7 linked regions of the Macaca fascicularis genome follow. The protein of the gene in region 2 interacts with the protein of the main gene of each other region in a pairwise test. Links are inferred from orthologs where the notes say so. Each region holds a gene or a part of one and is shown on either strand. Other genes may lie near its edges. The genes, in order: ABI2, TRIM32, RABAC1, SDCBP, SCGB1A1, PTPN11 and UBE2V1.

The links.
Region 1: the proteins of TRIM32 (region 2) and ABI2 interact in binary tests that used the Homo sapiens proteins (3 or more experiments, as listed by UniProt). The link is inferred for Macaca fascicularis from reciprocal best matches to the Homo sapiens genes TRIM32 and ABI2.
Region 3: the proteins of TRIM32 (region 2) and RABAC1 interact in binary tests that used the Homo sapiens proteins (3 or more experiments, as listed by UniProt). The two-hybrid records come from large-scale screens. The link is inferred for Macaca fascicularis from reciprocal best matches to the Homo sapiens genes TRIM32 and RABAC1.
Region 4: the proteins of TRIM32 (region 2) and SDCBP interact in binary tests that used the Homo sapiens proteins (3 or more experiments, as listed by UniProt). The two-hybrid records come from large-scale screens. The link is inferred for Macaca fascicularis from reciprocal best matches to the Homo sapiens genes TRIM32 and SDCBP.
Region 5: the proteins of TRIM32 (region 2) and SCGB1A1 interact in binary tests that used the Homo sapiens proteins (3 or more experiments, as listed by UniProt). The two-hybrid records come from large-scale screens. The link is inferred for Macaca fascicularis from reciprocal best matches to the Homo sapiens genes TRIM32 and SCGB1A1.
Region 6: the proteins of TRIM32 (region 2) and PTPN11 interact in binary tests that used the Homo sapiens proteins (3 or more experiments, as listed by UniProt). The link is inferred for Macaca fascicularis from reciprocal best matches to the Homo sapiens genes TRIM32 and PTPN11.
Region 7: the proteins of TRIM32 (region 2) and UBE2V1 interact in binary tests that used the Homo sapiens proteins (3 or more experiments, as listed by UniProt). The link is inferred for Macaca fascicularis from reciprocal best matches to the Homo sapiens genes TRIM32 and UBE2V1.

What each region holds. Positions count from the first base shown.
Region 1 is NC_088386.1:99,220,140-99,224,145, forward strand, and holds the start of ABI2 (abl interactor 2), read left to right. Parts: upstream 1-1,206; 5' UTR 1,207-1,437; coding exon 1,438-1,554; intron 1,555-4,006. UniProt on the Homo sapiens protein: Regulator of actin cytoskeleton dynamics underlying cell motility and adhesion. Functions as a component of the WAVE complex, which activates actin nucleating machinery Arp2/3 to drive lamellipodia formation.
Region 2 is NC_088389.1:41,394,299-41,398,378, reverse strand, and holds the start of TRIM32 (E3 ubiquitin-protein ligase TRIM32), read left to right. Parts: upstream 1-1,280; 5' UTR 1,281-1,329; exon of another isoform or gene 1,330-1,611; intron 1,612-4,080. UniProt on the Homo sapiens protein: E3 ubiquitin ligase that plays a role in various biological processes including neural stem cell differentiation, innate immunity, inflammatory resonse and autophagy.
Region 3 is NC_088393.1:48,998,616-49,002,825, reverse strand, and holds RABAC1 (prenylated Rab acceptor protein 1), read left to right. Parts: upstream 1-1,410; 5' UTR 1,411-1,494; coding exon 1,495-1,550; intron 1,551-1,831; coding exon 1,832-2,044; intron 2,045-2,440; coding exon 2,441-2,538; intron 2,539-3,670; coding exon 3,671-3,772; intron 3,773-3,855; coding exon 3,856-3,944; 3' UTR 3,945-4,106; downstream 4,107-4,210. UniProt on the Homo sapiens protein: General Rab protein regulator required for vesicle formation from the Golgi complex. May control vesicle docking and fusion by mediating the action of Rab GTPases to the SNARE complexes.
Region 4 is NC_088382.1:68,531,546-68,535,653, forward strand, and holds the start of SDCBP (syntenin-1), read left to right. Parts: upstream 1-1,308; 5' UTR 1,309-1,352; intron 1,353-4,108. UniProt on the Homo sapiens protein: Multifunctional adapter protein involved in diverse array of functions including trafficking of transmembrane proteins, neuro and immunomodulation, exosome biogenesis, and tumorigenesis.
Region 5 is NC_088388.1:11,638,154-11,642,132, reverse strand, and holds the start of SCGB1A1 (uteroglobin), read left to right. Parts: upstream 1-1,179; 5' UTR 1,180-1,240; coding exon 1,241-1,295; intron 1,296-3,979. UniProt on the Homo sapiens protein: Binds phosphatidylcholine, phosphatidylinositol, polychlorinated biphenyls (PCB) and weakly progesterone, potent inhibitor of phospholipase A2.
Region 6 is NC_088385.1:119,340,137-119,344,381, forward strand, and holds the start of PTPN11 (tyrosine-protein phosphatase non-receptor type 11), read left to right. Parts: upstream 1-1,445; 5' UTR 1,446-1,652; coding exon 1,653-1,666; intron 1,667-4,245. UniProt on the Homo sapiens protein: Acts downstream of various receptor and cytoplasmic protein tyrosine kinases to participate in the signal transduction from the cell surface to the nucleus. Positively regulates MAPK signal transduction pathway. Dephosphorylates GAB1, ARHGAP35 and EGFR.
Region 7 is NC_088384.1:106,203,791-106,208,048, reverse strand, and holds the start of UBE2V1 (ubiquitin-conjugating enzyme E2 variant 1), read left to right. Parts: upstream 1-1,458; 5' UTR 1,459-1,495; coding exon 1,496-1,517; intron 1,518-3,042; exon of another isoform or gene 3,043-3,316; intron 3,317-4,258. UniProt on the Homo sapiens protein: Has no ubiquitin ligase activity on its own. The UBE2V1-UBE2N heterodimer catalyzes the synthesis of non-canonical poly-ubiquitin chains that are linked through Lys-63.

The sequences.
Region 1 (4,006 bases), on a different chromosome or scaffold from region 2:
TGAGCCACCGCGCCCGGGCTAAAGTGACTTTTTTTGGAAAGTATGTTTCCTCATCATCTGAGTGAAAAAAAATTCACTGTAGGAGGGCCAAGAGATCACCAGATTAAGAACAGTGTTGAAACAATGGATCTTGTTCTAACTACACAAGTCTAAGATGGTACAGACTGGAGTCAACTTTGATTTTCCACAGCACAAATAAAGGTCATGGCTTCATATCTCAGCAATTGTCCGGAGTTTTAGTTTTTCCAGATTACACTGTGTGGGGTAGTCGGATTTAGGAAAACAAGACACAGTATCTGGAGAATAAAAACAATTATAACTCTGCAAGAACAAAATTCAAGAATCTGCCTTGAATTTTTGTAGCACTTGATGTTTCTTCAAGGTGTTTTCACGTAAACGTTGATTTTATCTATGTAACAGCCCTGTGAAGAAGGCAATTACTACTAGCAAAATCGTTTTCAAAATTTTAAATACCGAATCCATGAATAGGAAAAAGGACAGCGAAGTTGATAGCATTAGAGAAATGACAGAAAAGATCGTGAGGAAGCGATTCATAGAAATGGCAAACATAAAAAGCTGAGGCCCAGGGGTCCGCAAACCACAAGAGAAAGGGGCTAACCTGGCAGGGGAGAACGGCGTTAGTGGGGGAAGTGCAAAGAGGCAGGAGCGCAGGAAAGCTGGGGTTAGGAAACTGCAATTCACTGCAATAAAGAGGATGAGGTCAAATTTAAGAAAAATGAAGTCAGGTGGCATTGAAAACTGCGTGGAAGTTTGTGAGTTTTATTCCTGCCCTGATGAAGTGTGATCTTTCACAGAGGAGGATCCCAAGAGTGGAGGCTGTGCCCTCCTTCGGCCTCCCGTCAGCGGCAGAGGCAGAAAAGACTCGAGAAGTTCCCCAGGCCGATAACCTCCATGGGGACAGAGCCGAGATGAGTCCCGGAGGAAGCCGGCGGGAAGCCAGCAGAGCAGGGTGGTGCGTTCCCGCCGGACTAACAAAGGACGCCGGGAGGTGGGGGCTTCTCGAGTTGCTCCAGCGGTGGGCGGGCGGCGGAAGGGTTAACAGCACCACCACCTCCCGTGCGCATCCCGCTCCTACCCCCGCCGTCGCTAGGAGACGCCGGAAGTGGGGGAGGGGCCGGCGGCGCGGGCGAGGGTGGGAATCTTTTTCGGGCTCCCGGGGGCGGAGGGAGGGGAGCGCGCGTGCGCGCGCCCGGCCGGCCGTCGCCGCGGTGACCGTCCTCGCAGTCCGTCGGCTCGCGCCCCGCCCCCGTCGCCCCCTCCCCTGTCGCGCGCTGGGGCTGTTTCTCGCTCCTCCCGAGTTACCGCCGCCGTCGCCACCGCTCCTCCTCTCCCGGTCCTGGGTTTCTCTGGCGCTGCGGCCGCCGTTCCCTCTGCGAGCTGTGTGAGGAGGAGGAGGAGGAGGAGGAGGATGTGAAGATGGCGGAGTTGCAGATGCTGCTGGAAGAGGAAATCCCGGGGGGCCGCCGGGCCCTCTTCGACAGCTACACGAATCTGGAACGGGTGGCCGATTACTGCGAGAACAACTACATCCAGGTGCGAGAGCATCCCCCGCTGGGGCGCGTCGGGCCTCAGGGGGCGGTGAGGAACGCGTAGGGGACCCCCCCATGGGGGGCCGCGCGCCTCGGGGTGTGGGGCCGAGGCCGCCGCGGGGACACGGCCCGGCGGAGTCCCCGATGGGGGTGGGGAGCTGGGTGAGGGCTGGGGCTGGTGAATGGGTGGGAATCCTCCGGCTGGAGAAACTGCATTTTTAAAACCTTTTTAAAAGCCGTGAAGCAGTCCTCGGCGCGGTGCGTGTGTCGCGTCCCGCCTCCTCGCCGCTGCTGCCCTCGGCCGCCCCCGCACTCCGCGCCGGTCAGCGTTCCGGATGGCAGAGGGGGCGGAGAGTGGCATTTTCTGTTTGACGGAATCCTGCTCCCTCTTAGGGTAGGGGTGTCGCTTGTATTGACGGGTTACTTCCATCCCCCACATTCTGGACGATTTTTAAGGGGCTATCTTGCTGCAGAGTGAAGTGCTTCAGGCTTCAGTTTTCTGTTCCTGTGAATGCTTCAGAAACCCTTTCTTAATATTTTATGTTCTAAAGGGGATACGGTAGAAGAGCAGCAGTCTCTTGTTGGAAGTTAATGCCATTTTTCTCCCTGTGGAGAAGGATGGTGAGCTGACTCCCCCCTCCCTCCTAGTCCCGTTAGAATAGGCAATTTTCCTGGGGGTGGGAAGAGGACGGACTATGACTGTTTCTTAGAATCGGGAAGATGAACCTCCTGTTTTTTAAATTTTTTTTTAATTATTATTTTTTACCGTGATGGATCGTTTGGCACAGGGGCTTATAGTGGTAGCGGCGTGTGTGTGGAGGCGGGGGATACTGGATGATACGAGATCCAGCTGCTCCTGGATGAAGCAAAATATTCTGTGGATTAAAGAAAAATCCTTCTTTAAACATTACTTGAAAGGATAGCAGGTTAAAATGCAGTTTGCAAAATCCAGCATCTTTTGCTTTTTTGTTAACGGTTATTTTGAATTATGGATTCTGCCTCCATTTTTTTTTTCTTTCCTATTTAAATTCTCTTGGGATAAAGGTGGAAATGGAAGCAGTATGTTGAACTGTTTCTTCACAGTCCTTTTTTTTTTTCCCCCCCCCTGCTCCCACCTCCATCTCTCCAGGGATCTTTCTTTTTTCTTTTATTTTTGAGACACAATCTCGATCTGTAGCTCAGGTTGGAGTGCGGTGGCCCAATCTCGACTCACTGAAACCTCGGCCTCCTAGGTTTGCGCAAATTCTCGTGCTTCAGCTTCCCGAGTAGCTGGGACTACAGACGCCCGCCACCAGAGCCGGCTAATTTTTGTATTTTTAGTAAAGATGGGGTTTCACCATGTTGGCCAGACTGGTCTCGAACTCCTGACCTCAAGTGATCCACCCACCTCGGCCTTCCAAAGTGCTGGGATTATAGGCGTGAGGCACCTTTCTTAACGTTAGCTGTATAGGAAAGCATTTTCATGTTTTAGTGTAAATTTTAAGAAACTGGTGTTACAATTTTATAGGTTCATAAGTTTTGTAATGGCCACATTGTTGATCACGGAAGTGAGATTTTGTTTGATTAGACATACTATTATCTTGTAGACAACATTTGTATTTGAAAATGAACCACAGTATAAACCTGTTCCCTCAAGAGGCAGTTGAGTATGGCTACTAGGAAAGGAATGTAGGCAAGGTTAATACAAAAACATACAAATGTCCACTTGTAAGGTACTTTGCTGATATGAGTGGGGTAGAAAAGATTCAGAGGTTCAGGCCTGGGCGACAAGAGTAGAACTACATCTCAAAAAAAAAAAAAAAAAAAAAAAAGGTTCAGTTGCTCAATGTTTCTCTAAAATTGAAAGTCTTTTATGGCCTAGAACTGTGTGAGGGGTGGATGGTACATACCTAGTGTCTACAGAGTTTGATAGTCTAGTTAGTAGGAGAGGCTGATCTTGGAGGAAATTAATACCATGTAGTTAATTTACGCTCTGTAGTGCACTGCTGGTGCCAAGGAGGACTGGAGGAAGCAATGCTGTTCTGAGGGAATTCACAAACTCTAGTAGAGGCAAAACCTAAAGGACTGAAGTGGTAATTCCATTGCCTTGTGCAGCATATTATGGGGAAAGAGTTGCAGGTCAGAAGAGAAATTGAGGGTGGAAAAGTGGATTGCAATTATTACCAGTAAGAAATAAAAAATAAGCAGATTTCTCTCTCTTTTGCAAGATGGTTTTTTGTTGTAATTTGAAGGGACAAGTTCGTCTTAAGTTATAATTGCTATATAAAGGTAAAAGGATAAGGATTATTAAAGCTGAAAGGTTAAAGGGAGCAGCAGTTGTCTTTTTAAATATTATATACATTTCCTGCAGTTGAAAAGAGAAAAATGTCACTACTCTCAGTATCTGTTTTAGCAATGGGACTCAAAATTTAGTGTGGTGACATTTTAAAATTTAAAACGTAAATATTAATATTAAT
Region 2 (4,080 bases):
CTCCCTTATCCCCTACCTGCTAATTGCAATTTTTCAAATATAGTTATCATTAAGTACAAACTACCATAATCTTGGTTTATCTTCTTGGCAAACTTCACTTAGAAATTTAGAAAATGGGGAGAAAGAGTAAACAAGGTTAAGAGTGGGTTCTCAGATAGAATTGGGTACAAATCTGGGCGCCAATACTTAGGCACAGGTGGCCTTGTTAGGTGTAGGTTAACCATCAGCTGCCTTATCTCATGAGGTCCTTATGAGGATTTAGTGAGCTATGCACCTGAAGTCCTTAGCTGTAGCCAGACAGCAAGTGTTCAAAGATGTTAGTCATTGTTTTTGGTTACTGTTTTATCATTGTGCAGGGTCACATAGCTAAGGGGAATTTCAAATCCAAGACCATCCTACTTCAAACTCCTTTGTGCTCCTAAGCTGTACAGTATAATCACCTTGGAGAATAGGTGATTGGCCCCAAACTACTTCGGGGAGTGCAGGTCGTGGCTAGTCAGTCCTGTATCAGACCTCGTCCTTGCCAGATGCCTAGTGCCCTAGATTCCCTCAAATCTCAGGCCAGGTCACCTCCCAACTGGTAAGACTCCTCCACCTTCACCTCTGACTCCCCAAAACTACACTTGGTTTGGATTCCCGGGTACCTTCAGCCTGCAGGGACAGGGGCTGCAGCGTGTACTCCCCATGTCTGCCTCTGCTGTCGGCCTCCCAGCTGAGTAGGCAAAACGTTCCTTTACAGAGCAATGTGTTCATGGATAAACTTGTCTCTAGTGCAGCGCTCTATCAGAGCACAGGACATGGGGCCAAAGCACTGCCCTTCCTAGGGAGTCCCGGTTCTCGACCTCCCCAGAATGGAAGTTTGATTCTTCCGTTGGCCCATTTCTCAGATGGAAAAACAGATTCAGCAAGGTGCCAACGCTTTGTTGAGGACTACCCTGGAGGCTACAGTTTTGTGAAAGGGTAGACATTTGGACTGGAGTCAGATACGCATTCTGGCTTATCTCCTGACTTACTGAGTGAACTTGAGCAGGTCTCTTTCGCCCATGGGTCTCGGTTTCTTCATCTGCACAAAGGCGACGGAACACTGGATTACGTGTCGCTAAGGCCCCGGGTTCTCAGAGGAAAGCTCACCCCTGCAGGGCCGCCTGGCCCCGCGCGCTGGGGCCCGCTGCACTACAAGCCCCAGCATGCCTCGGGAGGCGGGGCTCAGTGACGGACAGGGAGCTCTGCGAATTGGCGCCCGGCAAAGGGCGCTCAACGGCGCGTGCGCAGAGGACGGCGGGCGGGTGGGCTGGCGGCGGTGGACTCGTCGGAGCTGCGGGCGGTCAGGTAGGGGGCGGGAAGGAGGGCTGGGGACTAGGGACCGCGGCCGAAGTCGTGGGCCGTGGCTCAGCGGCCGGTCGGGGGAACGTGCCGGCGTGCAGCGGCCGCGCCCGAATGGCAGGGTCTGGGGACCGGATCTGAGGGGCAGGACTAGGGTGGGGGTGGGGCTGCCAGGGGCAGGCTCGGGAGGGATTCGTGGGGCTGAGGAGATCCGCGGAGATGGAGCTGGGGGAGGGGAGCGAGGGGCTCTGAAGAGATATGCGGTGGCAGCATCTCGGGAGGTATGAGGTAATGTGGGGGCCCTGAGGAGGAACGGGGTGCAGCATGTGGGAGATGGGAAGGAATCAGGGCCCTGGAGGGACCTGGGTGCAGAATTTCAGAAATATGAAGGAACTGGGGGGCCCCGATGAGATTTGAGGGAATCTGGGGGCGCTAGGCATCTGGCAAGGATAGGGTGTAAGATGATAGGAGCAAGGTCTAGGGCGATTCTAAGTGCTATTGAGAAAGGGCTTTCGGAGTGGGCTGAGGGTGAGATAGAGGGGGTGGGGTGAGTTCTTGGGGGACTCTTGTTAGCAGGAAGAAGGGAGCTGGCTGAGTTGTGAAGGCAGCACATGACATTCAGTGCATAAGAGGAAGGAGCAGGGTTTGAGGGCGGCACAGTGCCTGATGGAATGCAGGAGATGGGGGTTCAGATTGAGGGAGAGCAGAAATCTGAAGTGAGGAATTAGGGCGTTGAACTGAGGTGCGGAGCTGAGTGCGGCAAAGATTTGGAAATAGGGATTAAAGGATCTGTGTCCGAGGGATTTGAGGCATATGAGTGAGGAATTGATGAGGGTTGCGTTATACAGCCCCAAAGATTGGAATTTGGTATTGTAAGAGGGTTGAGGACAGGGTTTGGAGAGGATTGAATCGTGGGGTGGAGATGTCCTAACTGGGCTATAGAATCAAAGGACACTGAGTAGATATGTGGATTGGTGTCTTGGGCTGCTAAAGAGATTTTCCTTAAATCGCTGCATGGGAGACGGGGGGAGTTTAGGGGACCCAAGGACCTAAAAGTAATGTATGAAACTCTGGATGAGTATATGAAGATGAGCAGAGTTCAGGTGTTCAGGAACAAAGTGATAAATCTTCAGTTCAGATATCCTGAAGGAGTGTGGTAATCCCTGTGAAGGGTAGAATCTTCTTCATTTATTAAACAAAGATCCGTTATCATAAGGCAGGTATGGTATTGCCACTAACTACACTCTGACCACCGCCTTCTCCCTCCCCCTCCCCCGGTCCACTGAAAGTGGTAGGCTTTGGGGAAGAAGAAATGGAACTATTCAAGGTCATCTGCCTAAGCCCTTTTTCCTTGTACTCCCAAGCTACCATAGCAGATAGAATGTGAGACCTCCAGGGGAATGAGTGGAATAATTTATCCTATATAAGATCCATTGCAGCTTGAAGGGGCAGTGGCTCTGTGAGTGAGATGTTTGGGCTCGGAGAGGGACAAAAAAAACAAAAAAATCAAACAACAACAAAAAAAGGGAACCCTTATGTATTGAGCATTTAGTCCTGTGCTAGACTGTAAAGCAGTGGTTCTTAATCAGGGGTGGCTTTGTCTCCTAGGAGACATTAGGCAATGTCTGGAGATGTTTTTTGGTTGTCACACTTAGGGTGGGGGATACTACTGGCCTCAAGTGGGTAGATTAAACATTAAATATAATGTTTTATGTTAATGTTAAACATTTGACAATGCATGGGATAAGCCCCTCCCCCCCAGTAAGGAATTATCCTGCCTAAAATGTCAGTAATGCCAAAGTTGAGGCACTCTGCCCTAGAATCAGATACCCTGGGTTCAAGTCCTAGCTCTATCTCTTCCTGACTTTGTGGCCTTGAATGAGTTACTTACCACCCAGTGCCTTGGCTGTTCATCTGTAAAATGGGGTTATGATAACAGGACCTATGTCACAGAATTGTTGTGAGGATTTAGTGAAGTAAATTAGCATGCCTAGGATCTGGCACATAGTAAGTTCTCAAAGTCTAGTAATTTTTAGTCTTGTATCTACTTCTTTACTCAGTTTTCATGACAGTCCTTCTAAGGACTGTATTCAGTTTTACACATGAGGAAACTAAGGCTTAGGAAGTGACTTGCCTAAGTTTTCATAGCTAGGAATGACACAGTTAAGCTCATACCCAGATCTCTGTAACTCTGTATTTTCCCACTTTCCTTGCTAGGACCCGCTTAGTCTTATTTTCTCAGCCCATTCCCCTCTAATGAAAACGAGGATTGCCCAGTGAGAATCACTGACTATCAGATTGAACTCTAAAGTTGGGGGATAAATCTCTCTGACTAGATTGGGAGGAGCCCTGGACTTTGTTCTTGGTTTGTTCTTAGACCAAGACCAGGGGCTAGATAAGGAGAGGAGCTTGAAGTTATCAGGCAGGATGAGGTGCAGCGGACTATGGGGTGAGGTATGGAGGCTGTTGGCTTGAAAAAAAAACCTCACAGCAGGGACTGAGGCTGAAGGCACAGCAGGGACTGAGGCTGAAGGCAGTCATACTTTGAAGGAGAGTAACTACTGTTGTGTATGGTCTCTTTTGGACTGCTTTTCCCTGGAACAGAATAGTAGCATTGGCTCTATCATTTCCAGGACTAGCTACAGCATTGCTGAAGCCAGTTCAGAAACAAAACTTGACTGTATCTGACAGCAAGACTTAGCTGGAATATCCATGCACATCCCTAAAAGAAAATATGTCATGGGAATTCAATCAGTC
Region 3 (4,210 bases), on a different chromosome or scaffold from region 2:
TCCCAGCTACTTAGGAGGCCGAGGCAGGAGAATCGCTTGAACCCAGGAGGCGGAGGTTGCAATGAGCAGACATTGTGCCACTGCACTCCAGCTGGAACAACAGAGCGAAACTCCATCTCAAAAATGAAAAAGAAAACCCGATTCCACTAAAAGCCTGGGGGTGACAAAGAGGAAATAAATAGTAACTAGCCAATCTGATCTTCAAAGTGTAACTCTTCCATCTTCAGTGTGGGGCCCTTGCAAAGGGCTTCCCTGCCTATTGCACCACCAGCCCCTTGGACAGGGCCATCTTCCCCCCACCTCCTGGGAACGCCTTCCAGCAGGCTTCCAAGCACAAACCCTGAAGTGCCGTAGATCTTGGAAGACAAGACCTGGGCCTAAAAGAGTCACTTGGGGCCAGGCACAGTGGCTCATGCCTGTAATCCCAGCACATTGGGAGGCTGAGGTGGACGAATCCCAAGGTCAGGAGTTCGAGACCAACCTAGCCAACATGGTGAAACCCCGTCTTTACTAAAAATACAAAAAATTAGCTGGGCATAGTGGTGCACGCCTGTAATCCCAGCTAGTTGGGAGGCTGAGGCAGGAAAATCGCTTGAACTCAGGAGGCAGAGGTTGCAGTGAGCTGAGATTGTGCCATTGTACTCCAGCCTGGGCAACAAGAGTGAGACTCCATCCCAGAAAAACCCACAAAACTTCCCAACCTTTTCTCTTTCCCAATTTCACTCCCTCCTGTCCAAAGGTGTGTGTGTTTGCAGGTGGGGGGGGGGTGGTGGCGGTGCGGAGGTGTCCCTAGTCCCAACTCATTCATCTTTGGGACTCCACAAAGTGGGGCAGGGGGCAACCTCAGATACCCCTCCAGCAACCATGACCCACTCACTAGCCTCAATCTCTTGAGGAAGGAATCAATTCCCACAAACTCTCTAAATCTTTCTACTCAAAATGTGGTCCATGGACCAGCGGCATCAGCATCACCTGGGAACTCAGAAATGCGAATTATGGGCTCCACCCCAGACTTGCTGAATGAGAACATCTGGGGTGGGGCCCAGGAGTCTGTTTTAGCAAGCCCTCTAGTTGTTTTTTTATGCCCTCTAGAGTCAGAACGACAGCTCTGCACGGTCCCCATTGTGCCCTGCCTGGGAGAGTACACAACACCCTCTTCTGCCATTAGAGCTCCCATAACGCCCTCTTTCCTGACAGCGCACCTGCACCCTCCTGAAACTACAGGTCCCACAATGCCCAGAGGTGCGCGCCGTCACTTTCTGGGATTATATCTCCCAAGGTGTCTTGCGAGTCAGACCGCCATCATGGCGCCCACCCTCCCAGCCACCGTCAGGACTACAACTCCCACAATGATCGGCGGCAGAACTACAGTCCCCAGCTGCTCCCGAGCGGCGCCACGTCGACTCCGCTGGGTGGGGCCGGCCTCGGGCGGGGCCGGCGGGGTCTGCAGGGTACCGGGCTGGTTACAGCAGCTCTACCCCTCACGACGCAGACATGGCAGCCCAGAAGGACCAGCAGAAAGATGTCGAGGCGGAAGGGCTGAGCGCCACGTGAGCGAGCCGGCTCTAGGCCCTCGGACCCGAGGCCCGGGAGTCCGGGACCCTGGCCCCCTCCTCCCTCGAGTGCCCGGAGTCCCAGCCCCGAGACGCACAAGCGCTGGCCCCGGTCTCCTCTAATGGGACCCTGGCGTCTGGGCCCCTACCCCCCTCCCCGCCTGCGATTCAGTAATCTGGGGTCCCGGGAGGGAGTCCAAGCCCCCTTAAACCCCTTCTTTTGCGGGGGTCTGAGGCTCCATCCCGGTCCACCACTGACCCGGCCCCACCCCTCGCAGGACCCTGCTGCCGAAGCTGATTCCCTCCGGTGCAGGCCGGGAGTGGCTGGAGCGGCGCCGCGCGACTATCCGGCCGTGGGGCACCTTCGTGGACCAGCAGCGTTTCTCACGGCCCCGCAACCTGGGCGAGCTGTGCCAGCGCCTCGTACGCAACGTGGAGTACTACCAGAGCAACTATGTGTTCGTGTTCTTGGGCCTCATCCTGTACTGCGTGTGAGTGCATCCCGGGCCCTGCACCCGCACTAGCCCCGACCGGGTGGACCCCTCCTCTCACAGCTCAGGCCCCGCCCTTCAGCGCCCGGGCCCTCCTCTCACCACCCAGGCCCCCCTCCTACCGCCCAGGCCCCTCCCCTCACCGCCCAGGCCCCTCCTCTCACCGCCCAGGCCGGCCCCGCCCCCAAGGATTGGCTCTGCTAGACCTACTTTGTCACCAAAGGGCCAGGTCCCTACCCCACCATCACCCTGGCCAGGATGCAGTGTGACTGAATGTCACCTGGCCCTCCCTGGTCTCCAGAATGTAGCTTGCCTCCCGCCGGTGGAGAAGGCCAGGGCTCCCTGGCTGACCAGCCCCAGCTGCCTAACCGCTGCCTCCCTGCACTCCTCCTCCAGGGTGACGTCCCCTATGTTGCTGGTGGCTCTGGCTGTCTTTTTCGGCGCCTGTTACATTCTCTATCTGCGCACCTTGCAGTCCAAGCTTGTGCTTTTTGGTGAGAAACCCCCTGCCCAGATGAATCCTTGGTCCCTCGAATCTTGGTCTTTTGGAATGCAAACCTCAGACCCCAAATCCAAGTCCTTCAAAACCCAAGTCCGCCGAAGCCTAGATGTACACTAGATCTCCCAAACCTGATCCTTTAAAAATCTCAGACACAACCGATGCTCCCATCGAGTCTCAGCCCCCTCAAATTGCTATTCCTCAAACCTAGGCTCCACCTGGCTGCTGTGCCTTAAACCTACTCCTCTTCAAACCACATGACTCCTCCCCTCTCTCCTCCCCTTGCCGCTTTCTGCGGCAAGCATCAGCTGCAGGTGCCCACACTGGACACCAGGTGGCGAACTTACACTGGCCTAGATCTGTTCCCGTTTCTTTTCCTGCTTTCTGGGATGTGACCAGAAAGAACTTGGAACTTGGGGAAGCTGAGGAGTGTGTTTCATGTGGTTCCCAGACTAGTACCAAGGACCACTGGGAGAACAAAATGCCAGGGGAAATTCCCCCCAGGGGAAAATCAAGGTTTGGAGTGGGGTCAGGGAGTTGGGATTGGGCTGTCAGGTAGACCTGAAGGCCAGGCTCTTCAGGGGCCTGCAAGTTATGTGCATGACGGGCTTAGGGGGAGGGAGCGCCTGCAGCACAGGCACCAGAGCATGCAGACCCCATCCCTGAGACTTCTATGGGAAGCGTGAAGTTGGTATTTTTATGTGAAATCATTCACTTTGCCAGCCACAAATCACATCCTTGTAAAACATCTCAAAACAAACACACATCCACAGGTCAGATTTGGCCTTTGGGCCACCAGTTTGAGACCCCTGGTCTGCGTGAGGGTTGCAGCAGGAGAGCCCTAGTCTAGGGAGCAGGAAGCTGGGATCCCAGGAACTTCCTGGAGGATGTGGGGCAGAGGGCAGAGCGTGGGGCTGAGGCAGGCGAGGACGGTGTGCTGTGTTCTGGAGGGCAGTGAGGACACCAGGGGAGCAGGGTGACCCCAGGACCTGGAGGGCCTTGGCATGAGGAGTTTGGATTTGATCCCGAGGACCTGAAGCTTATACAGATTGTTGGGGGGCAGCAGGGGTTACTCTGGGAGAGGGCATGAAGGGTCGGAACAGCGCCCCAATGCCATCTGCTTTCAGGCCGAGAGGTGAGCCCAGCGCATCAGTACGCTCTGGCTGGAGGCATCTCCTTCCCCTTCTTCTGGCTGGCTGGTGCGGGCTCGGCCGTCTTCTGGGTGCTGGGTGAGTACAGGGTCTGAGCAGCTGGGGTGGATGGTGGGGGCCAGGTACAGGAGCATGGCCCTGAGCTGCCGGCTTTCCTGCAGGAGCCACCCTGGTGGTCATCGGCTCCCATGCTGCCTTCCACCAGATTGAGGCTGTGGACGGGGAGGAGCTGCAGATGGAACCCGTGTGAGGTGTCTTCTGGGACCTGCCAGCCTCCCGGGCCAGCTGCCCCGCCCCTGCCTACTCCTTCCTGCACAGCTCTGCTGCTCGGGCCCATAGCGCCGTCCCATCACAAGCCCGGGGAGGGATCCCGCCTTTGAAAATAAAGCTGTTACGGGTGTCATTCAGGAAATACTCCCCTAGCATCTTCTGTGGGTCTCTATGGGTGCAGCTGGGAATACTGTGCAGATCAGGGTTGGGGTGGAACCTGGGGTGTGGGCAAGATGATAAGGTAAA
Region 4 (4,108 bases), on a different chromosome or scaffold from region 2:
TGAGTGCTGACATGAGGACCAAGGGAAATGCTCACTGGAGCATTTTGGGTTTTGGAGTAGGGATGGTAAACTCGTAAGTATATAATGCAAATATTACAAAAGCAAAAAAAAAAAAATCAAAAATTGGAAACATTTCTGGTCCCAAGCATTTTGGCTTAGAATGAGTCTGTTTTAAAGTTGTTCATGCAAACTTGCTATAATTGCTTTTCATTCTGTCTATTTTTTTAGAGGAGTGTCAATTTTTTCCAGATTTTCTATGTTAGAAATCATCTCATCTGAAAGCAAAAAGTTGTGTATCTTCCTTCCCAATCTACCTTGTAATTATTTTTAAATGTCCATTTCATCAGCCTAACTATAACCTTACTGACGGCAAAGTTTTCATCTTTAGTTGTCACCTCTTTTACACTCAGATTTTTATTAGTTTTGCCACATATTAAATTATTGTGGCACTAATTTAGCTAGAAATAAACAGCTTGTAAATGCTATTTTGTCAAGGACTCTACAGTATTCCATGGTAACTATGCTTACTCTTGGGTAAACTGTGCCTCAGTTTCTTTGTAATGGGATGTTGTATTTATTTTATAGACTGATGTGAAGACCAAATAAGACTATATATTAAGTTCGTAGAGCTATGGCTGGCACAAAATCAGCCCTCAAGAAATGATCGTTATGTTTTTGTACTGGGAAGCAATTACTTTTGCGCACCACCACAAGTAACTCTCAGCAGCGAAGGAATATTAGCTCAGGAGGACATCGTAATACGCCCCCCCGCCACCCCAACATCCAAATTTCAAACAGAAAAATAAAGCAGGACTTGCGAAGGGGTCGTGAGAAGAACGTTTCTGAGCCTATAGTGGACAGGTACAGCAAGCGGAGAGTGTTACTAGGGCAGCAGTGGTGGAAGTCGAAGGCATCCCAAGAGGGAGCATAGGCTCCAGAGACCTCTTTGAATTGGAGGCGACGAGGACCAAGAGACCGTGAGCTGCGATACACACTGTAGTGAGTGGGTGGCACGGGGCCCGCGGGCACTAACTGCCGAAGAGCGGAGAAGACTGGGAGCATAACCGCTGGGCAGCGGAGAGCGGCCGGCATGGACCGCCCCACACTGCCGAACACCTGGAGCTGCAGGAACGACCCACGCCCAGGCCTCTTTACCCCTACCGCCCGGTTACCTTAGGGACGCGATCACCTGACCCTGCGCGGTGCGCCTGCGCGGGCCGAAGGCGGGGGGCGGTGCCATGACGCGCCTCGGGGGCGGTCCTCGGGCGCGCGCCGCTCTCTTACCCTTGGGCCTCAGAAGTCCGTGCCAGTGACCGGAGGCGGTGGCGGCGAGCGTTTCCTTGTGGGGCTAGGTAAGAGGCCAAGCGGGGAGGAAGGACACCGGTGCCGGGTCCCGGGCGCGGGGACTTGGGGCAGAGGCGTGAGGGTCCCCGGGCCACTTCACGGACTGCATCCCGGTCGCAGCCGTTTTCGGGAGGCAGCGGCGACGCCCTCTCCTCAGGGTGCTCCGCGCCCCTCCCTGCGCCCTGCTGGCTGGGTGGCAAGTTTGCGGGAGCAGCGCGCTCTGCCTGCCGCGACCCCGCGGGTTTCGGGCTCCTGCGTGGGCTGGGGCTGGGGCTGGGGCTGGGGCTGGGGCCGGGGCTGGGGCCGGGGCTGGCTGAGCCCGGAGGCCCGGCCGGGTGAACGCCGGCAGCCCCCGCCCCAGCTCTGGGGTTCTTCCTGGGACAGTCTCTCGATCCTTGTTTTCTCCTCGATACGATCTCGAGTTGAGTAAAGAAAGAGCCTCTGGTCACGGTTCCTCCCCGTGCTCCGCGTTTCTTGGTCTGTACTTAATCACCCTCCTTTTGGGTTATTCGGGAAGTCCTGGATTTGAAAGGAGGAAGGAAGTGTTCGTTTAGTGGGCGAAGCCTTGACTTTTTTTGGAAGGGGGTGGGGAGAGGTTTTTCGCCTTGAGCTTTTTCCTGGAGAAGTTGGACCTGAGGGAGAAACGTTTCCAGTTGGGTGTGTTTAGAAGGAAATACCCCTGAGATCTGACGACTCAGAGACTTCCTTTCAGGATTTCCTTGTAATAATGGGAAAGGGAAGGCATATGGATGTGGAAAGTTTCACTTTTACCAAAGTGGGATTATTGAGTCATAGAGTCTTCGAATGTGCCCATTTTTGAAAGGAGTTTCTAGATTATCTCGTCTGTATAACCACATACAAGTTTACTGTTGACTTTTCCATTGCGTACATTGCTTAGAAAATACGCTCGGCTTACCAAACTCTTAATATCTGCTTGTTTCAAAAATAAATAGTTGATTAAAGGAGGACATTTACATTGAAAAACAACGGCGGGCCTTTTAAATTGATTTCTAAATGTGTATGTGATTAGTTAAAACTCAAATTTGTTCAGTCTTTTTATTTTCCTGTTTAAGATTGAGGGATAACGGTAGAAAATATGTCCTTTTGTCTTCTGTGTTACCAACTTAATTCTATAAACTTTTGTGCCTTAAATGGTACAGAAATATTATAAATCAAGTGGTTTGTGGCACAGAATAAAAAGAAGTAGAATGACTTTTAAAATGGTCAGTAAGTAGTCACTCCATTGAAAATTAAATTTAACTTTGGAGACATTAACTTTTAGTTTTGGGCATTATAGGAAAAGATGTAAAAAGGAGAAAAAGAGGAACAATAGGGGAAGAATTTGCTAATGGTTGCCGGTTAAATGTACTGTTTAAAGAGTTTCTTAAAATGAGCGTGACACAACTATTTTCTCTGTTTTTGCCAGATTTGGGTACTTTTCATAGGTATTAAATGCCAAGAGATTCTAAAAAAGAAAAGCTCCCCCAAATAACTTTAAAATACTTTCTACTTTTAGCAATAGTTAACGTTAGCATTTATTAATTTCTTTTCAAGTGCTGCCAACATCTTTTGTAAATGTATTGTTTTTGAGTAGGTAAACAGTCACATGTCTCAAAATTTAAGCAGTGTAAATAGGTATATAGTATCAAGTCTCCTTCTGGCAGGCAGGCAACTTTTTTACATTTCTTAGGTATTCTAGGGATATTTTATATCTACATAGGCAAACATATAAGCTGTATTTGCCTCCTTTTAGCACAAACATTAACATTTTATATACTGCTCCACATTTTGCTCTTATTTTTCCAGTTAGTGATAATATTTTGGAGCTTTTCTAATATCAGCATGTATAGCTTTCAAGTCTTTTGCTGTTACAGTCAGTGCTGCGGTGAATAAACTTTTACATATGTTGCTTCCTTTGTGCACATATATTTGTACACTTCAGGTTTTGAGACCTGAAGTGATACTGCAGAGTTGGAGGGTATCTGAATTTAGAATTTTGGTAGATACTGCAAACTCACTCTCCATGGTAATTGTACTAGTTTATGCTCCCATTAGTAGTATATGAGTGTTTCTCAAAGCCTTGATGTCAGAGAATGTTGTCAAACTTTGGATTTTTGCCAATTCACTAGGTGAGAAATGGAATCCTATGGGTAAGGATTAAATATTCTACTTGGAGTGGACTTCATATGGACATACTTCTTAATGGCTGATCATTAGAAACCCCCAGGATATTTATTAAAAAGAAGAGTTCCTAAGTCCTTCCATGAAATCTGTGTCTGCCCAGGAAGCTGATTTTATAATAACTAGAGCCTCGGGTAATTTGGCTGTGATGATTAGCCAGATTGAGAAACATTGCTCTGGAAGACTGCTTAGGATATATCAAATTGTGTTTCTAGACCTCATGTATGAGCCATCTGGAATGCTTACCATCTGGGTCCAATGGATACTTTATTTTTTCATTTTTTAGTTTTTATTTTTTTTAGAGATGGAATCTTGCTGTGTTGCTCAGGCTGTTCTTGAACTCCTGGGGTCAAGCAGTCCTCCTGTCTCAGCCTCCGAAAGTGCTAGGATTACAGGCATGAGCCACACGGTTCCTGGCCTGATACTTTATTTTTATATTTTAAATTTTTCAGTCACTCTATGAATAGTTTGCAGAAGTGAAATAATGAAACACAACTTTACGGCCGGGCCCGGTGGCTCAAGCCTGTAATCCCAGCACTTTGGGAGGCCGAGACGGGCGGATCACGAGGTCAGGAGATCGAGA
Region 5 (3,979 bases), on a different chromosome or scaffold from region 2:
ACATTCTCAAATCCACAAATAGTAAGAGAGGGCTAAGTCGCTGTGTCGGGGAGAGGAGAAGTGAAGTTCAAATGGTAGGCAAAGGCCAGTGGGCAAGGGCCTTGTAAATTGCACTTGAATTTTATTCTATAGGCAAAAGGAAGAGTTTAAGGGTTTCAAGAAGGACATGACCAATGGGCTTTAGGAAAATCATTCCGATGGCCTTTCCGAGGATGGCTGAGGAAAGCAAGCTGGGAAGCAGGGAGGTTGAGTCAGGGGATTTTGACTAGGCCAGGCTAGGTGCTATGAAGCCCGGGCTTTGGAGAAGAACCAGGAAATGGCAACTGGAGGCAAGAAAGAGGAGAAGGCCAAAGCCTGGGAACCATCAACACTCAAGAACAGTAAAGCATAAACATCTAAAGAGAACAAGAAGGAATAGCCAGAGAAGGAAAACAGGAAAGAACTGAGGCGTGGGAGCGCAGGAGAGAGAATGGTTCGAGAAGGAAGCGGTCGCAGGTGTCAAGGCCGTTGGGAGGTCAAGTGAGATAAGGACTGAAGGTCCTGCCAATTGGCCCATCAGGAGCACAGGACTTGAGAGCACTTCTGGGTGGGAACAGACCCAGCCTGTGGCAGGGCTCGGGTTTCTGATGGGAATTCTGGAAGGGTCCCTTTTGTTCAACAGTCCAGGGCCCCCCCAAGTCTGACCACGGCAATGCTCCGAACCACGTCACTTTCCTGGCTTAAGGTTCAGTCGCCCTCCTCAGAGGGGAGCCTATGAAAGAGCCCAGTGGAGTGTCAGCATCCTAAGTCCTAGTCCTAGTCCTCTCCCTGCCACTTGGGAGGGACCTTGGGCCTCAGTTTCTCCAGGTGGGCTCCACAATTGCTTCTCTTGACCTGGACTGCCCCAGTGCCCAGGTTCAGTGACTGACACAGGCAGCTGGGTTTCCCCATCCTCTGACATGGGTTCCCTTCACTGCCTTCAGGCATGGCTCGGCACTCCACCCCCAAGGGGCCCATTGTGTGAGCTCAGTTTCAATGGGGACAGAAACTGAGTTGAGAAACGGGAATATTTACCTATTCCGCCGAGCCAATGCCCAAGCAAATAGTGCGGTATCTTACGTAGAGCCCTTGCCCTACCCTTCCCCATCTGGGCGCTGCCGCCTGGAGCATATAAAAAGCACCTTGCTGGGCATGTCTCCTACTAGCCCACCAGTCTCAGAGACGGAATCATTGATGGGCCAGAGCATCCCCCGCCTCCACCATGAAACTTGCTGTCACCCTCCCCCTGGTCACGCTGGCTCTCTACTGCAGCTCCGGTGAGTGCTCAGAGTCCCTTCCCTCCCTCCTGGACTTAGGAACTCTCAGGACCCCCCAGTTTTGCTCAGAAGAAGGGGTGAGCTGCCCGTGTCTGCTCTGTAGCCGCTGGGAGGACCTGGGCATGCTGAGTCTCAGAAAACTGGGTCTGGTGAGCAAGTTCATCTTGGGAACTTGGAGAGAGCCCCAGGCTGTGAGGAAGCATAAAAAGGGTCCCATCTTCCATATCCAGCAACCCTCAGAATCCCAGGGAATGGAATAGGCTGGAGGGAGGGGTGGAGGACACCTCATAAAGATGAGTGCATCCAGCATAGGAATAATGAGGCCCTCCTCCCAGACCTGGACACACCCCAAGATGCCGAGACCTTGGTGCAGCCTCCAAGGCTGGGGTCTCCACTCCATGCTGGCAGCTGAAGTCACTGGAAGGGGAACTGCAGGGACTCATGACCCCAAAAGAAACCCAACCCAAGACAAGGTATCCCATTCTGGGCACAGAAGAATATTCCAGAAAGAGATCTTCCCTTTGGGGAACTGCCAACCCAGAGTGGAGTTTTCTAAACATTTCTGTCCTCTGCAAAAGGGATTAGGAGTCTCTGAGTAGTTGCTGCTGTCATTAAAAGGAAAAGAATTGTGGGGGAAAGAGGGGTGGACAGAGAGAGGGAGAGAGGGAGAGAGGGGAGAAAAGAAGGAAGGAAGGATCACACCTCTCTCCAAGATCCCCCGTCTTTGGAGAACTGGGTTATCTAACTCTGTTTTTCACTCTGCATCAGCCTCTTCCATTCTCGTCTGAAAATGTTGTTGTTGTTTTTTAATAAATAAACTCCAATTAATTCACTTGGAAAGCTTCACAGCACCCATGGAGATAAGTTTTATGACACTGGGGAGTTAGAAAACCCAAACCAAGAAGCAGTAGGAACAACTATTTTGCAGCAAGGCTTATTTGTTTTTCAGAGAAAATGACATCATCTTGGACTGAAATGTGTATTAATTAGATCTCAGTGCTGTCTGCGTACAGAGGTGGGTGGCTGAGCAAGATAGTTCTGAAACATGTTAAGGGGTGGGTCAGATGCATTTCATTTGTCTATTTGTGTGCGCACACATACAATATTTAACGCTTCACGCAATGTGACAATCACTGTCACCCTTTCACATAGTATCTCTTTTCTTTTTTCTTTTTTTTGGGATGGAGTCTAGCTCTGTTGCCAGGCTGGAGTGCAGTGGCACACTCTCAGTTCACTCACTGCAACCTCCGCCTCCCGGGCTCAAGCGATTCTCCTGCCTCAGCCTCCCAAGTAGCTGGGATTACAGGCACGCACCACTGTGCCCAGCTAATTTTTGTATTTTTAGTAGAGACAAGGTTTCACCATGTTGGCCAGGATGGTCTCGATCTCTTGACCTCATGATCCGCCCGCCTAGGCCTCCCAAAGTGCTGCGATTAGGCGTGAGCCACTACACCTGGCCTCTCTTTTCATTCTTACAACAACTCTATGAAGTAAGGATACTGGGCCAGGCACAGTGGCTCACGCCTGTAATCCTAGCACTTTGGGAGGCCAACTCATTTGAGGTCAGGAGTTCAGGACCAACCTGGCCAACATGGTGAAACCCTGTCTCTACTAAAAATACAAAAATTAGCCAGCCATGGTGATGCATACCTGTAGTCCCAGCTACTTGGGAGGCTGAGGCAGGAGGATCACTGAACCTGGGAGGCAGAGGTTGCAGTGAGCCGAGACGGCGCCACTGCACTCCAGCCTGGGCAATAGAGCGAGACTCCGTCTCAAAACAAATAAATAAATAAAAATAAAATTAAAATTAAATTAAAATTTAAAAAATAAAAAATAAAATGAAGTAGGGATATTGTTCCCATTTTACAGATGAGAAAACTGAGCTACGGAAAGACAGAGTGACTTGCCTGGTGACATAGTAAGTTACAAAGCAAGGACCTAAGTTCTGGAGAGGGTCTGACTTAGAGTGGCCCTTTCTAGAGAGGCCCTGGAGTCAGAGGAGGGAAGGCAAATTTGTACGGGAGGCAGAGAATTCAAGGACAAGGGATTTAAGACTCACTGGGAAGATGGAGGCAAGCAGGGGGTAGAAAATGGTGACTTTCCCCCATGTTCCTGATTGTAAGGACCTGAGAAGAAAACACAGTGTTGAAGCTCTGTGTTGAAGGGAATGCAGCGGTACAAGTGGCTGCTCTGTCCATGAGCTGAGTGTGCCACACTTCCCGGCCAGGTTGGGAGGCCCATGTTTGGCTGGTACAATCACAATGGCTTCTTCCTTTTTTTTTTTTTTTTTGAGACAGAGTCTCACTCTGTTGCCCAGACTGGAGTACAGTGACGAGATCTCGGCTCACTGCAACTTCTTCCTCCCGGCTTCAAGTGATTCTCCTGCCTCAGCCTCCCAAGTAGCTAGGATTATAGGCACCCAGCACCATGCCCAGCTAATATTTTGTATTTTTAGTAGAGACAGGGTTTCACCATGTTGGCCAGGCTGGTCTGGAACTCCTGACCTCGTGGTCCGCCCGCCTCGGCCTCCCAAAGTGCTGGGATTACAGGTGTGAGCCACCGCACCCGGCTTACAATCGCTTCTTCCTGCCAGAGCCTGAATTTGTCACATGCCCGCAGTGAAGCATGGCTCAGGGCATCCCTAGCCACTGAGGAGAGGCAAGTTTCCGGCGGGTAACAAAACC
Region 6 (4,245 bases), on a different chromosome or scaffold from region 2:
ACTCTTCTCAATCTGGTCTGAGTCACCATTATTCCCAGACCAGAATACTACAGTATTCCCGTATTTTGACTGGCTTCTCCGTTTCTGGCCTTGCCCTCTTCCTCGAGCTTCACAGTGTCCAAAATAATACTTCCCCACCACCCAGCTTTTTCGTTTGTTTGTTTTTTGTTTTAGAGACAGGGTCGTGCCATGTTGCCCCGGCTGATCTTGAACTCCTAGGCTCAAGCAATCCTCCTGCCTCGGCCTCCCAAAGTGCTGGGATGAAGGTGTGAGCCACCATACCTGGCCTGAGTGCAGTGGCCTGATCTCGGCTCACAGCAGCCTCGACCCTCCAGGCTCAAGCAATTCTCTCACCTCAGCCTCCCGAGTAGCTGGGACTACAGGCGCGTGCCACCACGCCCGGCTAATTTTTGTATTTTTTGTAGAGATGGGATTTCACTATTTTGCCGGGGCTGGTTCCCAACTCCTGGACTCAAGCGATTCGCCCGCCTCAGCCTCCCAAAGGGAAGTGCTGGGATTTCAGGCGTGTGCCACTGCTCCCACCCCAAAGTAGTATTTGTTATTATTATTATCGAGACGGAGTTTGGCTCTATTGCAGGCTGGAGCGCAGTGGTGCGACCTCGGCTCACCGCAACCTCTGCCTCCCAGGTTCAAGCGATTCTCCTGCCTCAGCCTCCCAAGTAGCTGAGATTACAGGCGAACGCCACCACGTCCAGCTCATTTTTGAATTTTTAGTGGAGACCATGTTGGCCAGGATGGTCTCGATCTCTTGACCTCGTGATCCGCCCGCCTCGGCCTCCCAAAGTGCTGGGATTACGGGCGTGAGCCACCGCGCCCGGTCTATTACTAGTTTTTTTAGGCAGTGTCTTGCTGTCGCCCAGGCTGGAGGGCAGTGGCGTGATCACGACTCACTGCAGCACCGACTTCCCGGGCTTAAGTTATCCTCCCGCCGCAGCCTCCACGCCTGGCTAGGGTTTTGCATTTTTTGTAGAGATGAGGTCTTTTTTGCCCAGGCTGGCCTCTAGCTCCTAGGCTTAAGCGACACTCTTGCTGCAGCCTCCTAAATTGTTGGGGTTACGGGCGTGAGCCACCGCGCCCAGCCTAATGGAGGAAACTGAGGCTCGGAGACAGTAGGTAATTCCCCAAGGTTCCACAGCTAATGAGTCGAGTGGCGATTTGTGGAACGAAATGAATGAAATCGATGTGGCAGTGGGCCCGGACGCGCCCGGTCGGTGGAGTGGCGTAGCCGCCGAGCGCGCAGCTCACACCCGGCGGCCGCGATTTCCGGGAGGAAGCAAGGATGCTTTGGACGCTGCGCTTAGCGCCTCCGCGGAACCCCCGCGCTGCCATTCCCGGCCGTGGCTCCGTCCTCGGCTAACGGGAAGCAGGAAGTGGCGGCGGGCGTCGCTAGCGGTGACATCACGGGGGCGACGGCGGCGAAGGGCGGGGGCGGAGGAGGAGCGAGCCGGGCCGGGGGGCGGCTGCACAGTCTCCGGGATCCCCAGGCCTGGAGGGGGGTCTGTGCGCGGCCGGCTGGCTCTGCCCCGCGTCCGGTCCCGAGCGGGCCTCCCTCGGGCCAGCCCGATGTGACCGAGCCTAGTGGAGCTTGAGCAAGGAGCGGGTCCGTCGCGGAGCCGGAGGGCGGGAGGAACATGACATCGCGGAGGTGAGGAGCCCCGAGGGGCCCGGCCCGGGCCTCGGCCCGGCCCCCGCCGCATTCGGTCAGCCCCGTCCGGAAGGGGGCGCCCCGGCCGGGCTTCGGGCTCCCGCCCCGGATCGGGATTGGGGGCCAGTTCCCTCCTCGTCCCCTGTCCCTCCTCGGCCCGGGGGCCGGCCCCACCGCGCCCCCACCCCTTGGGTCCCCATTCATTTCCTGCCTCCCTGAGTTCCGGCTGCGGCAGCCCGGGGGATGCCCGTCAGGCCTGGGGCAGGTAGAGCCGCCTAGGGAACCACGGGCGCCAGCGGCCCGGCTCAGCGCCGCATTCCTGACCCATTGCCTCATGAGAATTGCCTCATGGTGATTCCGAAATAACCCTGCTCACTTGGGGAGGCTCCTTGGGACACGAGATGGGAGTTGCGCGGGGCCGGGCCCCCAGTGGTCTAGTCGTTCTGGGTCACTGTGCCACTTGCGTGCATTTGGGGTCTTAACGAAGGACCCCTGACCCTTTTATGTGCCCCTTTGTGTCTTCTTTTTCTCCCACCCCTCACGTGCCAGAAATGGAAAAACTGACTGTATCTGCAGCCACTAGAAGTATTTCCTTCCTCTGCGATATTCGCTTTGGGAGATGGAAAGGAAGGGAGCCGCATCTCGTTATTTAATCCTTCACTGCAACCTTAACAGTCAGGTCACTTTACTGGTACCCGTTTTATGGATGAGGAAACCGAGGCCCAGAAGCAACATGCTAGTAAATGACAAGATTTGAAACTAAGGAGAATTAGTGAGTTAATGAGATCCTTTGAAAGATCAGGGTAATATTACTACTAATAGCTAACATTTGCTTAGTTCTGACGACAGCCCTCTCAGATGGCTACTATTATCCCCATTGTAAAGATGAGTAAACCGAGTTTCGGAGAGGTTAAGTAGATTGCTTAACCTCACAGCTAGTAGGTGGTGGAGACAGAATCCCTACTTTTAATCACTATGTTGCTTCTATTATTTTGTAACTATTGCTAACCACTTGTAAGCCTTAATTTTGTTGTCAAACAGTAGTGTGACTTGTTTTCAGATAATGATCCTGCTATTTTATATAATCACTCTATATACCACTCACACTTAAGACCCATTGTCTATTCTTTTCCATGGTTGTTCAATTATGGTCACTGTCTCAGACATTTAAAAAACGATTCAAGCTATTGAGGCTATTTGAATGAGATTTTTTTTTCTTTCTTTTTTTTTCTCTTTTTTTGAGACGGAGTCTCACTCTGTTAACAGCCCAGGCTGGAGTGCAGTGGCACGATCTCGGCTCACCACAACCTCCGCCTCCTAGGTTCAAGCGATTCTCCTGCCTCAACCTCCCAAGTAGCTGGGACTATCGGCATGCCACTATGCCTGGCTAATTTTTTTTTTTTTTTTTTTTTTTTTTTTTTTTTTTTTTTTTTTGAGACGGAGTCATGCTCTGTCGCCCAGGCTGGAGTGCAGTGGCCGGATCTCAGCTCACTGCAAGCTCCGCCTCCCGGGTTCACGCCATTCTCCTGCCTCAGCCTCCCAAGTAGCTGGGACTACAGGCGCCCGCCACTTCGCCCTGCTAGTTTTTTGTATTTTTTAGTAGAGACGGGGTTTCACCGTGTTAGCCAGGATGGTCTCCATCTCCTGACCTCGTGATTCGCCCGTCTCGGCCTCCCAAAGTGCTGGGATTACAGGCTTGAGCCACTGCGCCCGGCCTAATTTTTTTTTTTGAAACAGAGTCTCGCTCTCTTGCCCAGGCTGGAGTGCCGTGGCGCAATCTCGGCTCACTACAAGCTCCGCCTTCTGGGTTCAAGCCATCCTCCTGCCTCAGCCTCTCAAGTAGCTGGGACTACAGGTGCCCGCCACGACGTCTGGCGAATGTTTTGTATTTTTAGTAGAGACGGGGTTTCACCATGTTAGCCGGGATGGTCTCGATCTCCTGACCTTGTGATCCGCCCGCCTCGGCCTCCCAAAGTGCTGGAATTACAAGCATGAGCCACCGTGCCCGGCCGAGTTTTGTATTTTTAGTAGAGACGGGGTTTCACTATGTTGGCCAGATTGGTCTTAAACTCCTGACCTCGAGATCCGCCTGCCTCGGCCTCCCAAAGTGCTGGAATTACAGGCGTGAGCCACCGCACCCGGCCTGAATGAGATTTTTCAAAATATTAGGAATGTCTCCTCCAAACAGACCTGGCATGTTATTCTTACATGGATCTGGAATTTAAAAAGGGGAGAAAAAAGAAAACAGAACTCGTAGGAAGTGAGTGACTTGGACAGGTCTGTTGGCAAGTGCTTGCGGATCTGGGTAATATATAACTGCATTTCAACGGAACAGTGTATAGCCTCAAATGTTCTAATTCTTTAGGGAGCTTTTAAATAAACAGTTGTCTATTCTTTAATCTGTCTAATAGTCATTGAGCCTTTTGTTCCTGGTGTCTGCTCTTCCAGACAAGTAAGGATTTGCTGCTTTAGGGGGCTGAGGGTTGGGAAAAGATCTGTGTAGTATTAGACCCTACATTGTCCAGTTTGTTAGTTTAGAAGCATGGAAGTGTGGGCATAGTCAAAGCAGCAAGTGGTAA
Region 7 (4,258 bases), on a different chromosome or scaffold from region 2:
CATCCTGGTTTGCCCTGGAGAGCCCTGGTTTCCACTTGCCCTGGTGAGATTATAATAGGTCCTCTTTTAATCTGATGAGTGTCCTCATTAGGTGATAATCTATGGTCACTCAACTTGTAGAGTTTGCATTTTATCCAGAGGGAATAGGGAGCCACTGAAGGCTTTAGCTGGAGGGTGTTTTGAGCAGATGTTGGTCCATATGGAGAATGGACCATGGGGGAGAGAATGGAAGCTGCCGGGGTCTTCCAAGTAGGAGATAAAGACAGCTTGTCCTGAGTGGAGAAGTGAATGGAGCAGGAGAGATGCAGAGTAGGCATTGTTGTCAGACAAAGGTGATGAATTGGATGTGCTGGGTGAGGGCTTCCAGCTTCCTTGTCCCTCTTTGTTTAGAGTCCTAGTCCTTCTGCCAGTATTTTGCTCTGTGACCTTAAGCCAGTCCCTTCACCTGTCTCAGCTTCAGGGTCTACATCCATATAAGGGCTTCTCAGACAATTTATAATATAGGAGGATTAACTTCTTGGGTTTATTTGCAAAAATATTTCCCGAGGGCCTTTGCACAAGCTGTTCCCTCTACCTCCTCATTGTTAGGGTCTCTGTTGAAATACGACCACGTTAGGAAGCCTTTCCTGACCATCCTCCGCTGCCCTTTTCTTGGTTTATCTCTAGCCTATCAGAATTGTAGTTTCCTGTTTATTTACTTGCTATCTATGACTAGAATGGAAGCCCCTGAAAGCAGGGATTTGCTTCTTCAGAGATGTCTATCCATCCCCAGCTCCTAGCACAGTGTCTGGTACATAGTAGGTGCTTAATGTTTGTTTGGTTGAATGAATGAACGAACGAATGAGTGAATGAATGAATTGGGCAGATGGTTAGCAAATGTTTTCCCTGCCACCTTATTGCCCCCAAATCATTTAGCTGCACCCACTTCAAGCCTTCTCTGGCCAGGGAGCATCAATCCTAGAAGCCAGATCATCTGACCTGGAGGGTGACGATTCAAATTCAAATTTGAACCTGGAGGTTAAAATTCTGTCTGTCTCTGCCACTTAACAGCTGAGTTTAGATAAATCGTTTAATCTCTCTCGGCTGCATTTTTCACATTAATTCCGACCTTGTGGAGATGTGGTGAGGATCTAGATAGGAACTAGACAGGAAAAAGCCCCAAGTGAATTCGGCGCTTTTGTTTGAAGCTATCTTTTCTTTTTCTTTCACAATCGCGCCTTCCCAAGCCTCGTCACCCCTGCCCTTCTCACTAAGCACGTCACAACCTCCCTCGCACCCGATGTGGGGGGACTTGCAGGTTGCTGAGCCCTCGAGCACGCAGATATTTCCTTTCTCTAAAAGGGAAGGAAAAGAGCCTCCCCGGCCTCGGGTCGCGCAGGTCTCCGGAGCGGGCGTCAGTGGCGGCGTCTGTGCGTGCGCGCGCGCCTGCGCATCAGGGCCAGGGGACGGGTGGGGGGTGAAGAAGGGGCCGGCCTTCAAGCAACAGCGACGCAAGATGGCAGCCACCACGGGCTCGGGTGAGCGGGGGCGCCGGGCCCGGCCGGCCGAAGGGGCATGGGCTTGGGCCGGGGGCTGGGGACTCTCAAAGGCTCCTGCAGGGGGGCCAGGGTCCCCGCGCCGCCTCTGTCCGGTGGGCTCCGCTGCAGCCACGGGCAGGCGGTGGCCGGAAGCACGGGCGGGGGGCTGAGGGGCCTGTGGGCGGCGCGGCGAGCCTTAAGGCTCCCCCGGGAGGCGTGAGGGCCCCGCTGCGCTACCTGGGGGAGCCGGAGTGGGCGAGGAGCGAGCTCCAAGGCACTTCTGAGGAGACCGGGGCTGGCGACTCTTTAAGGGGCGACCAAGGGGTTCCTTAGAGGAGGAGGCGCCCCACAGCGGATGGAAGTCCCGTACTGGGTGCCAGGGGTGCGGCTGAGGGGGGGGCCTTGGGATGTCTGGAGGGGACATCAGAGGAGCCCCTCAAGCTGGATGGGAGGAAGAAACGGGATCCTGAGGGGGTGACTCGAGAGGATCCCCTATTGGTTGAGGGGACGGCTCCGGCGTTAGTTTTAGAGATAGGGTTAGCCGAGGAAATAGCTGTGTTGACTAGAAAGGAGGAGCCTTGGAGCGGCTGCTTTTGGGGAGAATTAAGGAATCTCCGCATGATAAGTGAGAGCGGGGGGGAAAGGATTCAGATGCCACAGGGACTTGATTGCAGTGATAGTGAAATGACCCCATCATTACCAGTCTCCTATTCGAGGATACAGATGGATTGCTCCAATTTCGCTTTCAGGGGACAGGTCCGTTGGGGCAATTGGTGGAAGCCTCTGATATTGAATGAGGAAGAACAGGTGAATTGGGAATCCCGAGGATGTCTCTTTGGGAGTGGGGATTCAACTGAGGGAAGCCCCTGAAATGAGTTAGTGGAGAAGGTCGGGTTCCAGAGATGTTTCTTGTAAACGAGATAAGTCTCCTCTTTTTGAATTGAGTGAGGGAAGCATATCCTAGAAGTGTCTCTTCTGTGGAGACGCTCACTCTCATCCACTCCTTTGATAATTGGGACAGATATGTGGGTTCAGCTCAGAAGTTCCCCACTGGCTGATGGGAGTAGGGAGGTGAATAGATGAAATGGACACTCTTGGGTGAGGCTGCACCCTCGGGTGCCTGGCAGTGAAGTTGGCCAAGGAGGTGCTCTCAGATGGGGTGAAGATGGGTTACCTCTGATGGAGGAAGGAAACAGAACCACAGTGTTCCCCACTGTGGGGCTGCAGGGACACGAACCTGAGTACGGCAGTCATTGGGGTATTTAAGGCCACAGCAGGGGCAGTGTTGGGAAGGAATTGGTGATCCATGAGAAATAGGGTGAGGGAAATTCTTTACAGTGTTGCTCCTCTGCGGTCTCAAGGAGCCATACTTGTCTGATGGTTGGGGTGAGAATAAAAGAAATTGAATATGGGGGATCTGACTGAAGTGACCCACCAGAAGCTGCTGCCTTTTGCATTTAAAACAGTGGGGTCTTCTTGCAGCATAGCGGAGACCATGAATCCTTTTACTCGATTTTGGTTTCAGCTGGAACAGTGCTGAGTCAATTCATTTACCAAGACGCTGCCCCAGGCACTCCCAGAAGAGAGATTCTGAGTCAGGCCAGACTGCTGGGGGAAACTTCTCACCAGAATAACACTCGTACCAGGTCGTAATGAAGCAAGGGGCCCAGTGTGCTGGCGGTAGCCAGCAATAAGGTGCTGTTGCAGCTCAGCCCTGCTTGCAGTCACTCGGTTGGCTACCTACAATCTGAGTTAACAGGTGCCCGATTCTAACTTCTGGAGACCCTGACAGTTAAAAAGTGAGTGCTTCGTAAATGGCTATGGCGATCAGATAAAATGTCAGCTGCTCTCGAGTGGAATACAAGAGCATTTGGCATGGTTTAAATAACATAGAACAGGCTTTGAGGTGCCCTAAAATGGACTTCCCAAAATTCTTTTTGTCTGTTTATTCAAAAGATATTTACTGAGGGCCTATTATGTCCCATTGTGGATAGCAAACAAAACAGACATAGTCTGTGTCCTTTGGGAGCTTCCATTCGAGTCAAGGAGAGAAGGCTGTTAAGGGGTAAATAAATAAGACAATTTCAGATAGCAGTAAGTGCTATGGAGGAAATTGTGTGATATGATAAAGAGTGTCTGGAGAGGTGGTCAGGGAAGGCTTCTCTGAGAAAGTGACATTTCAACTGAGGGGAATAATGGAAAGCGCCAACCCTACAGTGTCACAGGTAGGAGAGAGGGTGGACTGTGAGTGCAAAGGCCTTGTGGTGGGACTGAGCTTGGCATGTTGAAAGAACAGGATAAAAGGCCTTAGTGTGCAAGCAAGGCTTGTTAAAGAGATGAGTTGGAGAGACATGGCTTTGGATTTGACTTGGTGTGAGGGGAAGCCATCAAACAAGTATCTGGTATGAAGTAGGCAGTCAGTAAATATTTGTTGAATGAATAAATAAGAGTCTTAAAAAGAGGAGTATGGCAAGATCTGACCTAAGTCCCTAGGCAGTGAAAAGAGTGCAGGGTGCTAAGAGTCCCTAGGCAGTGAAAAGAGTGCAGGGTGCTAAGCAGACCTTACTTGGGTTAAACTAAAATGAGTGTACAGGCCTCCCTGCTTTCTAACCCTGAGAAGTCTTCCAGGTGTGGTCAGGGCCCTGAGGCCTTCCTTAGTCAGGTTTAGAGTGAGGCTCTTTATTAATCTGTGCTTCTGGTTGCCAGGAAACAGCTGTGAAGCCTTTGAGTTCCTGTAAGGG